Linked DNA regions of Caenorhabditis elegans. The protein of the gene in region 3 purifies or fractionates together with the protein of the main gene of each other region. This does not show direct contact. Each region holds a gene or a part of one and is shown on either strand. Other genes may lie near its edges.

Evidence for each region. The genes of interacting proteins can lie anywhere in the genome.
Region 1: the proteins of C37H5.5 (region 3) and Y46E12BL.2 fractionate together in Caenorhabditis elegans (co-fractionation; one large-scale study listed by BioGRID). This does not show direct contact.
Region 2: the proteins of C37H5.5 (region 3) and W04C9.4 fractionate together in Caenorhabditis elegans (co-fractionation; one large-scale study listed by BioGRID). This does not show direct contact.

What each region holds. Positions count from the first base shown.
Region 1 is NC_003280.10:15,231,144-15,236,185, reverse strand, and holds the start of Y46E12BL.2 (Ribosomal RNA-processing protein 12-like conserved domain-containing protein), read right to left. Parts: upstream 3,034-5,042; 5' UTR 3,025-3,033; coding exon 2,957-3,024; intron 2,892-2,956; coding exon 2,622-2,891; intron 1,700-2,621; coding exon 1,626-1,699; intron 1,577-1,625; coding exon 1,413-1,576; intron 553-1,412; coding exon 246-552; intron 1-245. Other genes in the region: spsb-2 (SPRY domain-containing SOCS box protein 1), read right to left, coding at 3,561-3,697, 3,992-4,157, 4,536-4,618.
Region 2 is NC_003279.8:460,070-463,184, reverse strand, and holds W04C9.4 (uncharacterized protein), read right to left. Parts: upstream 1,191-3,115; 5' UTR 1,186-1,190; coding exon 1,012-1,185; intron 956-1,011; coding exon 867-955; intron 815-866; coding exon 625-814; 3' UTR 534-624; downstream 1-533. Other genes in the region: W04C9.5 (GTP-binding protein), read left to right, coding at 314-528; tol-1 (TIR domain-containing protein), read right to left, coding at 1,975-2,235.
Region 3 is NC_003283.11:4,825,640-4,830,421, forward strand, and holds the start of C37H5.5 (Nucleolar complex protein 3 homolog), read left to right. Parts: upstream 1-1,720; 5' UTR 1,721-1,725; coding exon 1,726-1,908; intron 1,909-1,954; coding exon 1,955-2,090; intron 2,091-2,141; coding exon 2,142-2,482; intron 2,483-2,527; coding exon 2,528-2,789; intron 2,790-3,733; coding exon 3,734-3,804; intron 3,805-4,054; coding exon 4,055-4,782. Other genes in the region: Heat shock protein hsp-6, read right to left, coding at 1-348, 397-705, 773-1,116.

The DNA of each region.
Region 1 (5,042 bases), on a different chromosome or scaffold from region 3:
CGTTGACTTTTTGGATTATAAAGTGAAAATTGATTTGAAAAGTTGAATTTTAACTGTAAATTCGAAATTTTCGAGTTAGAAACACATTTTCCGTCGATTTTTTGGATTCTAAAGTGAAAACTCAATTTTTTCGATTTTTTTTCATTTTTCGCGGGATTTTTTACTTTTTGGCTGCAAAATAACTTTTTAGCAGTTATTTTTTGGTAATTTGAGACCGATTTCTTCTCTCAAGCCAAATTACGAACCCAAAAAGCTTTCAATATGATTCAAAATCAGTTGTCCAACTGCTCCGCTCGCCGGATGCAACCCGTTATCCGTCGCAGTAACCGGATCGGTAAGAACCGCCCGGATCACACGACGAGCCATCGTACGGACCCACGGCTTGTCGTGAGCCGCCAGAGCAGCCACAGAGACGAGCATATTCCGCGTATTGGCGCTGGACCAGACGGACGCTTGCTGGGCACGGAGGATGATTCCGAGCACTGAAATGAGGTTTTTCAACGCGGATCCTTCGGTGCTATCGACGTTTTCTAGGAGTTTTGTGTAGAGAATCTGCAAATTATTGATTTTTTTAAATTATAGGTGGATTAAAAACATGCCTATGGGATCACAATGACCGAATATCATGATTTAAAAAATCCAAAAAATTTTTCTAAATTTTATATGATTTTTTTTTGAAAATTGCAAATACCCCATTTCTCCCCTAATTCCTATTTAAATTCCCGCGAATTGGATTCGTGCGGTAGAGCGCTGGCACGTTTTCTAAATTTATTTATTTTATTTTTTGTTATTTATTTTCGTCCGATTTTTCATGTTTTCAGTGTATTTTTGCTTGAAATTTGAAGGAAAATTTGAGATAAATGCAAATAATTGATGAAAAAGCAACGAGACACAGTCTGAAAAAAGAAGAACTAACGATTTTAAACGACATCGAATCAGAATTGGCTGATTTCCTAGATTTACGATTTACGCATTTACGCAAATCTATTACGCAAATCGCAAATCTAGGAAATCAGCCAATTCTGGTTCGATGTCGTTTAAAATCGTTAGTTCTTCTTTTTTCAGACTGTGTCTCGTTGCTTTTTCATCAATTATTTGCATTTATCTCAAATTTTCCTTCAAATTTCAAGCAAAAATACACTGAAAACATGAAAAATCGGACGAAAATAAATAGCAAAAAATAAAATAAACAAAATTAAAAAACGTGCAAGCGCGCTCTATCGAACAAATCCAATTGGCGGAAATTTAAATAGAAATTAGGGGAAAATTGTGATTTTTCCAATTTTCAAAAAATCATATAAAATCTGGAAAATTTTTTTGAACATTTTTATCATGATATTTGGTCATTGTGACCCCATAGGCATGTTTTAAAGCAATTTCCCCACTGCCGCTGCTTCACAAAAAGCCCATACCTGCACAAATCTGTGAAACTGAGCTTGAAGCACCTCTTTCGGCACCTTTCTCACAATCAGATGAAGCAGATAAGCGATTGCTGCCGTTCTTCTGGGATTTCCCAGCGAGGATCCTTCCAGCGCGGTCATCAGAGCCGCACAGTACTCAACGTCGGATTCTTTGCCTGAAAATCCCTAATTTTTAGGCCTAAAATTATGGGGGAATTAAACTACCATCCCGCTCTTTGATGACTTCAGCGATTGCTGCCAAAACCGAGACAACCTCTGCTTGAATAGAGGACCCAGATCTGAAGAAATAAATCTATCAGTCTACGGCTCGTGCTTTGGAAAAGAGATTCAAGAGTTTAAAATCAAATTTGAAAATAAAAAATTCCCGGTCTCCTGGAGTGTTATAAATAATTATTAGAGCGCGCTCGTGCGGCACCTCACGAACTCCAGAAGTCGCGGGAATTCGTTCCGCGGGGACAGCAGTTTTTTTGCTATTTTTGGCTCCTATAGGAAATATTTTTGATTTTTTGTTTTATAATATTCTTGAGAAGCATCATCCGAATTGAAAATGTGTAAAATTATGAAATTTAGCCGAAAACTGAAAGTTTTACAGAAGGAAGCCACTACAGTTTTAAAAAAATGTATCAGGATCGCCAGTTTTGCGTTTTATGTGTCGTAAAATATGTCATTTTGTAGAGAATTAAAAGTTTCATACGAATTTTCGTTTGAAAATTTAAAATTGCTTTTATTAAAAGCTTAAAAATTTAAGAAACAAGATTTTAACGTAAAATTGTTGATTTTTTGAATATTTTTATATTAGAAATTAAAGAATTAAAATTTCAAACGAAAATTCTCATGAAACTTTTAATTCTCTACAAAATGACATATTTTACGACGCATAACTCGCAAAACTGGCAATCCTGAAACATTTTTTTAAAAACTATAATGACTTCCTTCTGTAAAACTTTCAGTTTTCGGGCAAATTTCATAATTTTACACATTTTCAATTCGGATGATGCTTCTCAACAATATTATAAAACAAAAAATCAAAAATATTTCTTATAGAAGCCAAAAATAGCAAAAAACTGCTGTCCCCGCTGAACGAATTCCCGCGAATTCTGGAGTTCGTGAGGTGCCGAGCCAGCGCGCTCTAATAATTATGAACACTCCAGGAGGTCGTGAAATTTGTTGAATTTTTGGAAAAAACGCTAAAATTCTCACTTCCAGACCCGATTGACAGAATCAAACGCAGGATTTGTGCAAGCCGTGAATCCGGAGAGCTTAGACAAGCCTCCCTCGGAAACCATGCTTTTCGACGAAGAGCCGATATCCATCGAATGAATCGGAAGAGCCGAGAGCAGCATATCGTCGGCGGCGGCGGTGTTCATGAGACGATCCTCGACGGCAAGCATGCCGGCTCCGCCGAAAGAAGCATTTCTAGCGGCATTGGCAGCGGCGCGATGCTTGCTTCTCGTTGGGTTGCTTTCACATCTGAAAAAACAAAAAAACAATTAAATTTAATTATATTCAACGAATTTATCGACGTTTTCACTCACGCTGATCCTGAATTAAATTTCGCTGCTCCCTTCTTACTTGTACGATGACGGAAATTGCCACCTCCCATTGTTTTTATCTGAAAAAATGACAAATTTGATGGAAAATTCCTAAAACAAGGCGATAAACTGTTGGAAAACGATGAAAACTGATAATTTGAGTGCGCAAAAATTTATTTTATTGATTTTAAGTAAAAAATAACTGAAAAAAACCTTTAAAATGCAAGATTCTCAGCAAGAAATCGGCGAAGAATAGCGAAAAAAAATAAATTGTTCGGTTTTCGTGGCGAGACCCGAGGTGTCCAGAGGCCGCGTCCCCCCGCGTTTTCTAGGCCGTCACGCATTGAAATTGGCGGAAACTCAAATCGTGAAGCGATATTGAACGACAAAAGCTTTTGGAAAAGAGTCAAAATATTTTAAAACATTGTAAAACAAAATTCCAATTTTCATTCAGGTATAAAAGCAATATATTCAATATATAAATCTGAGTAATTCACAATTTGACAGCGAAATTTGCAAAAAAAAAAGTGGTGAAAAACCGTGGGGATTTGTGGGTTAGTGGAAAAGAGGAGAAAAATGTGAATTTTTGGCGAGAAAATGATCAATATCACTCAATCTCATACAACAAATATTCCTTCATAACCGGCGGGATCATCAGCGGCTTGATGCGTTTGTCGGGGTCTGGTCCCATTATGCTTCGGAAACGACGTCGACACAGTTCGAACAACGGTAGCATCTCGACTGCTGAAAAAAAAAAACAAGAATTTCGATTTGGTTCTGGCTTTTCTCGAATTTTTACAACTAAAATTTAGCTAAAACCGAGCCGAGCCGCGACGCGACGCGACACGCAAAGCGCCGTAAATCTACACCGGCCGTGGCCGATTCACAGCGCGTTGCGTGTCGCGTCGCGGCTCGGTTTTATTTGTAAAACATGATTTTAGAAACCGCGATTTCTCAGAAAAGAAACTCCGAGAAGGAGATCTACAAAAAGACAGCCATCACACCCTTTTTTCTGCGCCGCACGTTTACAAAACTCACGTTCCAGTGATCCCAGATGTGTCATGGTAATCTCACAGTCTCCATAAAGAGTCGCCACAGCTGGGTATAATCGTTTTCCCCGGAGATTTTGGAATACAACTCCGAGGTACTCGTTGTCTGTGGCGAATGACAGATTTCCTTGCTCCATGTCCAGAATGCAATAGATCTGAAAATTGATTGTTTTTGGGTTTTTGATCAAAAATTTCAAAAAAAAAAATGTTTTTTTTGTTTTTTATAGCAAAAATGGTTTTTTTGGTATTTTTTGGCAAAAAATTGGTTTTTTTTGTTACAAAATTGAGATTTTTTGGGTTTTTTTAAAGCAAAAAGAGATTTTTTGCCAAAAATAGGTATTTTATTGGCAAAAGATAATTTTTGCCACTTTTTTTTTGGCAAAATTGAGATTTCGGTTTTTTTGACAAAACTTGATTTTTTTGGGTTTTTCAAAACGAAAATTGATTTTTTATCTGGCGAAAATGGTTTTTTTTTTGGGTTTTATGGCCAGAAATTGATTTTTTCGGTTTTTTTTTTTGGGAAAATTGTTCACCTTTTCAGGAACATTGAAACCATCTCGACCATTCCCGTACGGATACTTCCACTTCCACGAACCGTAGTGACATTCTCGTGTAGCTGAAAAAATTGAAGAGTTTGGGTTTTCAATCGCTTTTTCTAAATTTTCTTTTTGTATTTAACATTTAAAACTGGCCAATTTGCATAATATTTGCCTATGGGGTCACAATGACCGAATACCATGATTAAAAATTCAAAATAATTTTCTAGATTTTATATGATTTTTTGAAAATTGAAAAAATCTCACTTTTCCCCTAATTCCTTTTTGAATTTCCGCCAATTGATTCGTTCGATGGAGCGCGCTTGCATTTAAAAAATTTTTTTTTCATCAATTTTTCGCATTTTTGACTGATTTTTCATGTTTTTTCGTGTAATTTTATTGGAAATTTACCGAAAAATTCAAGATAAATGTAAATTGTTCATTAAAAAGCGGGTATTAAAGTCTAAATTTGTGAAATTGAATATTTCAGGCTCTCAACGTCGT
Region 2 (3,115 bases), on a different chromosome or scaffold from region 3:
CGAAATTTATCGGAAACTGCGCGTAATGTTTGGTTTTATTAATTTTGTTTAACAATTATATAATTTCAAATGGAGGAAAATTTTGTGAAATTTGAGCATTATCGATTTTTCATAAGTTTATCAATGGAGCGCGTTTGCAAAGTAAAGTATTTTGAATTTTTGTTCGTCAAATGTGATGCATTGCGTATAAAATCGTCAAAGGAAAATTCTTCGATGCACCATGTTTTTCAACCAAAAAAAACGATGCAACGCGTGCCGCGTCGCGGCTCCACGTGGAACTTCAAATTATCGATTTTTAAATTGATTTTTCCAGAAGGAGCCTGCCTGGCCAAAGTACACAAGTGCAATTTCGTCGAAGTTTCCGCGCAGTACTCGATGAACATTTCTGAGCTCTGGACAATAATTCTAAAGCAGCTACAGGCTCCGAAAGCGGAGCTCGAGGAGCCCAATGGATGGATGCATCGAATCGTGACACGTGGCAAACAGTTGGCTCACTCAGCTGAGCAAATTGTGCAAAAGTTTTTGTGATAAATAAATTTTCGATTATTTTATGTGGAAAATGAAAAACAGTAACAAAATCAACAAAAAAAAACAATTTTAAAAATGCCGCGGAAAAATCCAAAATCACTGCTCCATCACCTCGGCTTCACCCTCCTCGTCATCTTCACCGTCTCCGGCCAGTTCCGCCTGAATTTTTCGATATTTGTCGCGTGCGTCGTGTGTCATCTTCTTGTACATCTTCTTTGCCTTCTTTTTTGTGATGTATTGAGCAGTGGTGCCACGTTTTCCAGTCGGAGCGTCCAGGATCTTTTTGCTGAAATTGAAAAAAACAATTTTTTTGTTTGGAGAGATCGAGAAAATCCTACTTCTCTCGAACTGGAAGCTCTGTCTTGCGGATAATCTTCTTCTCGTTCACTTTTGGCACGTTTTGCAGCTCACCGGAGGCCAATTTTTTCTGAAAAAAAAAATCAAAATCAAGAATTTCGCCGAGTTTTTCCTTTTTTTTCTCACCAGCGACGATACGGCGAGTCCTCTGACTCTCACCACCTCCTCCTTCATCTCAACATCCACTTCACCGTCTTTTTTGGCATTTTTAGCGTCTGCCTTCATGCGTTGCGCTTTTTTTACTGTCACCGCCACCTTGTTCTTGACACGATTTTTCTTCTGATTGCTGAATTTGCCCATCTTCGCTGAAAATTCAAGAATTTTGAGAATTAAAAATCGATGAAAATTTAATTTTTGAGAGCAAAATTCGAAAGGGGTAATTTAATGACCGAAAATTGGAATTTTATTGGAAAAATGTGTAAATTAAATTAATTTCGACATTATTTAAGAGATAATTGACTATTTAGTTGAGAAAAACTGAAAAAATAGGCCGAAAAACTGATGATAAAATGGGAATTCTTTCACCCGAGAGGAGTACACCACTGGGCGGCCGCGGAGATGTTAGGCCACCCGCTTGTGAACTCCTCTCGAACAAGCTAATATACTATTTTTTTTATTCATTTTTTGCGTGTTTTCAAGAATTTCTACCGAATTTTTTGCAGCTGAAACAGGAAAAAAAACAAAACAAAAAATTAAAATACAAGCTTCATAAGCATCCGCAAATGACAACAAGAAGAAACGACGATTATTAATATATATATATTACAGAAGATCACACAGGGTAGGACGAGAATTTGAATTTGTGGTGACAGAAAAAAGCAATAATTTGAACTGAAAAACGAGAATATTCAATTATTAAATCAAAAATATAATCGCTGGTCAATTATTAGAGAATGATGGCAAGATTCATAGAAAAAGAAAGAAAATCGAAAAATATAGTACCGGTATTGTTGTAAAAATTCAAAAAATGGCAAATTGTGCACAGAAGAATTGGGGGTGAAAAAGAAACCTCGTGAATAATGGAAACTCGTACATTTGGAAGAGGAAAAAAAATACTAAAAACTGTGACCTAAACGGGAAAACTGTAAGCTAAACAACATCGGAAGGCACAATTCCATAGATATCCGAATATAGTTGAGACGAATCATCGCCACTATTCGATGGTAATGGAAGTCGTGATGGAAGTGATGAGTGCAAAAGTGTCCAGAATAAATGGCTCCGCATCTCGATTCTCGTGTGCTTCCGTAGAATCTGTCCGAGCTCATCGTCCAGCAGATTCGCGTCCACACCGTCGCCGAGCACGGCGATCACTCGTTTTGCACGGTTTTTGGCGAATAGTTGGTGGGAGGTCTGGAAAAATGTGGAGTGTTATTAGTGAATTTCTGGTGTTATAAATTATATTTAGAACAGTTTTTTTTTCAAAAAGTTTTAATTTTTCATACACTTTTTGAAATCTAGCAAAAATAATTCCTAGAAATGTAATTGAATATGATTTAAAAATAGTATTATTAAATCATATTCGATTAAATTTCTAGGAATGTTTTTTTTTTGAGATTTTACAGAAAATTCGGAATTTTTTTGGTTTAAAAATAAATTTTTTGATAGTGTTCAAAAATTAAAACTTGAAAAAAAAATTTTTTTTTTTGAAAATTTGAAATCATAGCGAATTACTCTTTTTAAATCTTATTTAAATAAATTTATAGCAATTTTTTTTGCTGATTTTGATGTTCAAGATTTGAATGAAAATTCAGATTTTTTATCTCAAAAATCTCCAATTTTACAAAAAAAAATACTTCAACTTTTTGTCGATATTTCGAGCATTTTTTACTTTTTCCGAAAAAAAATTTCAAAAAAATTCAATTTTTGAAGGTTCGAGATTGGAAAATCCAAAAAAAAAAAATTTTTAATTTAATGTTTGGAAATTTATTTCATATAATCCAAATTTTAATTTTTTTTTTCTCGAAAATTAGCGAAAAAATTGAAATTTTCGGAATTTCCACCAAATTTTCTGGAATTTCGATAATATTGTTTTCAATATTTGAGTAAATTCCAAATAATTTTTTAAAACAAAAAATCAAATATTTGGATAGTAATTTTGAACGGTACAATAGTCATATAAAATAATTACAGTAGCTTTTGCTACGAGATATTTTGCGCAACACGCATTCTCAGAATTTTTAAGAACATCTTATTTTTACGAATATATCAATTTTAAACTGAAAGTTTGAAT
Region 3 (4,782 bases):
ACAATCTGCTCGAACTTGGCTCTGGTGAGCTTCAAGTTAAGATGTTTTGGTCCAGATTGATCCATGGTGATGTATGGAAGATTAATGTCGGTCTGGGTGGTGGATGAAAGTTCGCACTTGGCCTTCTCGGCGGCTTCACGAAGTCTCTGCATGGCCTGTGGATCCTTGGTAAGATCAACTCCTTGCTCCTTCTTGAACTCTCCAACGAGGTGATGGACGAGAGCGTGATCGAAGTCTTCTCCTCCGAGGAATGTATCTCCGTTGGTGGACTTGACCTCGAAGACGCCCTTTTGGATTTCAAGAATTGACACATCGAAAGTACCACCTCCAAGATCGTAGACAGCGATGCTAAAAAAATATATATTGTGAAAAGTATTACTCGAGCGCTTAGCCTACATCTTATCTCCAGCGTCCTTATCCAATCCATAGGCGAGAGCGGCAGCAGTTGGCTCGTTGATGACACGAAGAACGTTAAGACCAGAGATTTGTCCAGCATCCTTAGTAGCTTGACGCTGAGAATCGTTGAAGTAAGCTGGAACTGTAACAACGGCGTTGTTGACGGTGGTTCCCAAATAGCTTTCGGCAGTTTCCTTCATCTTCATCAGAACGAATGCTCCAACCTGAGATGGGGAATACACTTTTCCTTGAGCCTCAACCCACGCGTCTCCGTTGCTGGCTTTGACAATCTTGTATGGAACGACCTTTCTGAAAAATGAAAATTTAGTGAAAAGAGTCCTTTTTTAAAAGAAAATTTAGTGAAAAGAGTCCTTACAAGTCCTTTTGAACCTCTGGGTCTTCGTATCTTCTTCCGATCAATCTCTTTGTGGCGAAAAGAGTATTGGCAGAGTTGGTAACGGCCTGTCTTTTGGCTGGAGCTCCAACAAGACGCTCACCGTCAGCAGTGAAAGCAACCGTCGATGGAGTGGTTCTGACTCCTTCTGCGTTCTCGATAACTTTTGGAGTCTTTCCTTCCATGATACTGACACAGGAGTTTGTGGTTCCAAGATCAATTCCGATAACATGTCCCTTTGGTTTGTCCGACAAGCTTCTGGCGCTCATCAAGCTCGATCGAGCAATTGTGCGAGCGGAAGACAAGAATGATCGTGCGGAAAGCATAGTGCCTGAAAGAAAATTGCATCATGAACGAAAACGCGAGAAAATAGGATAAAAAGCAGTAAAATATAATTTGTAATCGGTTTTTGAGCTTATTTTGACATTTCCTAAACAAAATGACACAAAATTTGCTTTTCAACCGTTAAACGGGACAATTTCTTGTATTTTTGATAACAAAAGTCAGGGCATTTTGCATCATTTCCACTGAATATGCCAAGTTTTAGGAGAATAATGATGCAAAATATTGGAAAGGAGAGCTAAAAGGTTTAAATTTAATGAATTTTTCGTTGGAAAAAACTCGAGAAATTTCTCGAAAAAAAGAATCACGGGCTTTTGCATCAACTTTCAAACAGAAAAAAACTTCTCGTCTCCGCCCATTTCACATTACGGTCAGGCGGCGGGTCTCGCAGCGCTTGTTGAGATTGTGTGCGCACACATTGCAGTTACGCCCCAATCGCAACACGCGGCGCGTTTTTCTCTTGAATTATTTTTGCTTTATTTTTGGCGAAAATGAGTTTTCTTTTTACAAATAGGGTTGCAATTAAAATTTTAACTTCTTTTTTTAAAATTATTTTACGAGGTGTTAAAATCAATGATTATTTTGCAGAAAACATGGGATTCGCTTCCGCTTCTCGCGAAGAGAAGCTGAAAATGCTGAAGACAAATAAAACAAGAAAAACTACGAAACATTTAAATCGCCTTGCAAAGCGGAAAAAGCTGTCGAGAGAGATTCGCGATGGAATGGCAGATATTAAATCAAGAAAATCTGCAGATTTGAGGCAGAGAGCTGTTAATGTGAGCAATTTTTCGAAAATAAAACAATTTATCCAATAATTTTCAGATTGAAGATGATTTCATCGCCGACAGACAAGCTCATTATGAGAATAGTGATGAAGATTTGCCATTGGACATGATGGACGCAGATATCGATTGGGAGAACAGCGCATTTGCCAACGCAAAAAGGCGGCTTGAGAAAAGTAATTGTTGTTTGAAAATTAGTTAATAAACTTAATAACGTTAAATTGCAGAAAGAAGTGGTGTAGAATCAGACAGCGACGATGAAGATGATGTTGAGAAGAAAAAGAGAAAATTCGCAGGACTACTCGAAGAAGGCCATGAAGAACTTCTGCCGATTAAGCTAAAAGATGGAACACTGATTCGTCCGACACGAGAAAAAGAAGTTAAGGAAGACGAAGAAGAAAAAAGCGGTGATGAAGAAGAAGAAGGAGAAGAGGATGAGCCACATCGGGAAGATTTTTCGCATCTTTCCGCGTCGGAACTTATTGCAAAACGACGGGAATTGATGCAAGAATTCAAAGATACTATTGCATCACATGCTAATATGCTTTTATCAAATCCACAAGTCAATGTAAATTTAATTTTTAATTTTTTCTCAGAAATCTCAATTTTTCAGATCGTCCGTCTCCGAGATCTCTACAATCTGTGCAACGGCGAGAAAATCCACTCGCTGGTGCGAGAATCCGTTCAAAAACTCGCAATCGCTAGTACTCTCCAAGTTCTTCTCGATATTCTCCCGGGTTACGCGATTCGTGAGCAGACGGCCGAGGAAAAAGCCCAGAAACAGAAGAAAGAGACGAGAAATCTCGTTAATTATGAAGAATCGCTGTTGAGATATCACCTCAAGTATTTGCAGTTGTGTGAGAAGCTTTCGAATAGTGAGTGCTTGTATGGACTCGAAATCACTAAAATTACCAAATTTCGTGGCGAAAAACTAAAAATTTCGGCTAATTTCAGCTAAAATCTTCAATTTTGGCTTGTTTTTCGTGCTGCGACCCGGAAAAATAGCCGAAATTGGAGATTTTTTGGCGGAAATCTGCTAGAAATTTTGACCATACCTTCTTAAAGGCGCAAGGATTTATTCTGAAGGGTCCTGGCGCGAAAAATTTATGGTAGTTTTTTTTTTTGTATTTTTAAAGAAATTTTATCGTTTTTTTCTTCATTTTTCTGCTAAAAGTAGTTTTAAATTTCTTTTTTTCAGGCTGACAAACTGGAAAAAAAAACATGCTTTTTAAAAGTTTTATCGTACTAAAATTGTTTTTTAAAACAAATTTTGACAGAAAAAAAAACGGAATTAATCAGTTTTTCTTGCATTTTTCAACGGAATTCTTTCGGTTTTAGCGACTTTTGTCGTTTTCCTTATCATTTCATTGTTAAAAATTGTTTTAAATCAGTTTTCAAAGTACAATGGCACTTTTTTCACTAAAAATGTGATTTTCTCGTTTGTCGGGCTGAAATTAGCTATTTTAAACAATTTTTAACAGAAAATTGAAGAGAAAACAACAATATTCGCTAAAAACAAAGTAATTACATCGAAAATACAAGGAAAAAACTACGATAAACTTTTGCGCGCCGAGACCCATATGAATAAATCCGTGCGCCTTTAAGAAGACATGCCAAAATCAAAAAATCTACTGTAGTTACGAAATAAGAGGATTTACTCTATTGTATCAACAAAAAAAAGCATAAAACTCTAATTTTGACTACTTTTCTGTGTCGCATCAGTCTGAAAGCCACAGAAAACAGGCCAAAATTGAAGATTTTAGCTAGAATTACCACTTTTTTTAAAAATTAAAACAAAAAAAATCCTTTTTTTTTTCAGAATTGGTCGGTAAGGATCGTCATAATGATGAGAGCACGTTCACATTCAAAATGGGAATTCTCTCTGTGAAGGTAATCAATTTCCCACGTCGTGTCAGAGTGTCTCATTTCGGCTTGATCTACGTAGATCTACAAAAAATGCGGGAGAAGAGACGCAGAGTTCTCAACTGATTTTGCATGGTTAAGAACGTGCTGCTGATGTCACATTTGTTTGGGCAAAAAATTCCCGCATTTTCTGTAGATCAAACCGAAATGGGACAGCCTGGGGCACAACGTGATTTCCCGGCTCAAAATCAAAAAAAAACTTTAAAAATTTTTACAGGCGCTAGCTCGAATCGTGGTCTCCGCTCCACACTTCAACTACTCTACGAACATTGTCTCAAGTCTCGTTCGTCTTTCTCTTGCCAAAAATGAGACAGTTATTCGAGAAGTGTGCGAGGCTATCCGGACAGTTTTCAAAGAGGATATTCATCTCAAAATCACCCTGTTCACTGCTCGCTCCATCTCGACTCTCGTGACAAAGAGGAAAGGAAGAGTACCGCCAGAGCTTCTAAGGACTCTTCTATCGATGAATATTACTGAAGTGAAAGATGAGGATAAAAAGTCTGGAAAAGATGCACTTATTGCGAAGAAATATCAAATCAAGAAGGAGAAAGCGAGCAAGACGGCGAAGAAGTATAAGAAACAACTTGCCAGACTTGAAGCCGATCTTTTGGAGGTTGAAGCCGAAGAGTCGATGAGCAAAAAGTTGAAGAACGCCACAGAAGCCATGAAATTCGCCTTTCAATCATATTTCTCAATTTTGAAGCGTATGCCAAACTCGGCTCTTCTCGAGCCAGTTCTCGAAGGACTCAGCAAATTTGCTCATCTTTTGAGCATTGAATTCTACGAGGATATCGTTTCAACTATGGAGAATATGGTTCAAAATGAGAATCTCAAATCATTGGATCAACTTCATTGCATCAATACAGTCTTTGTAATCTTGTCTGGAGATGGTCAACTTTTGAATATTGATCCATCAAAATTCTACCGTCTGGCCTATCGAGTTCT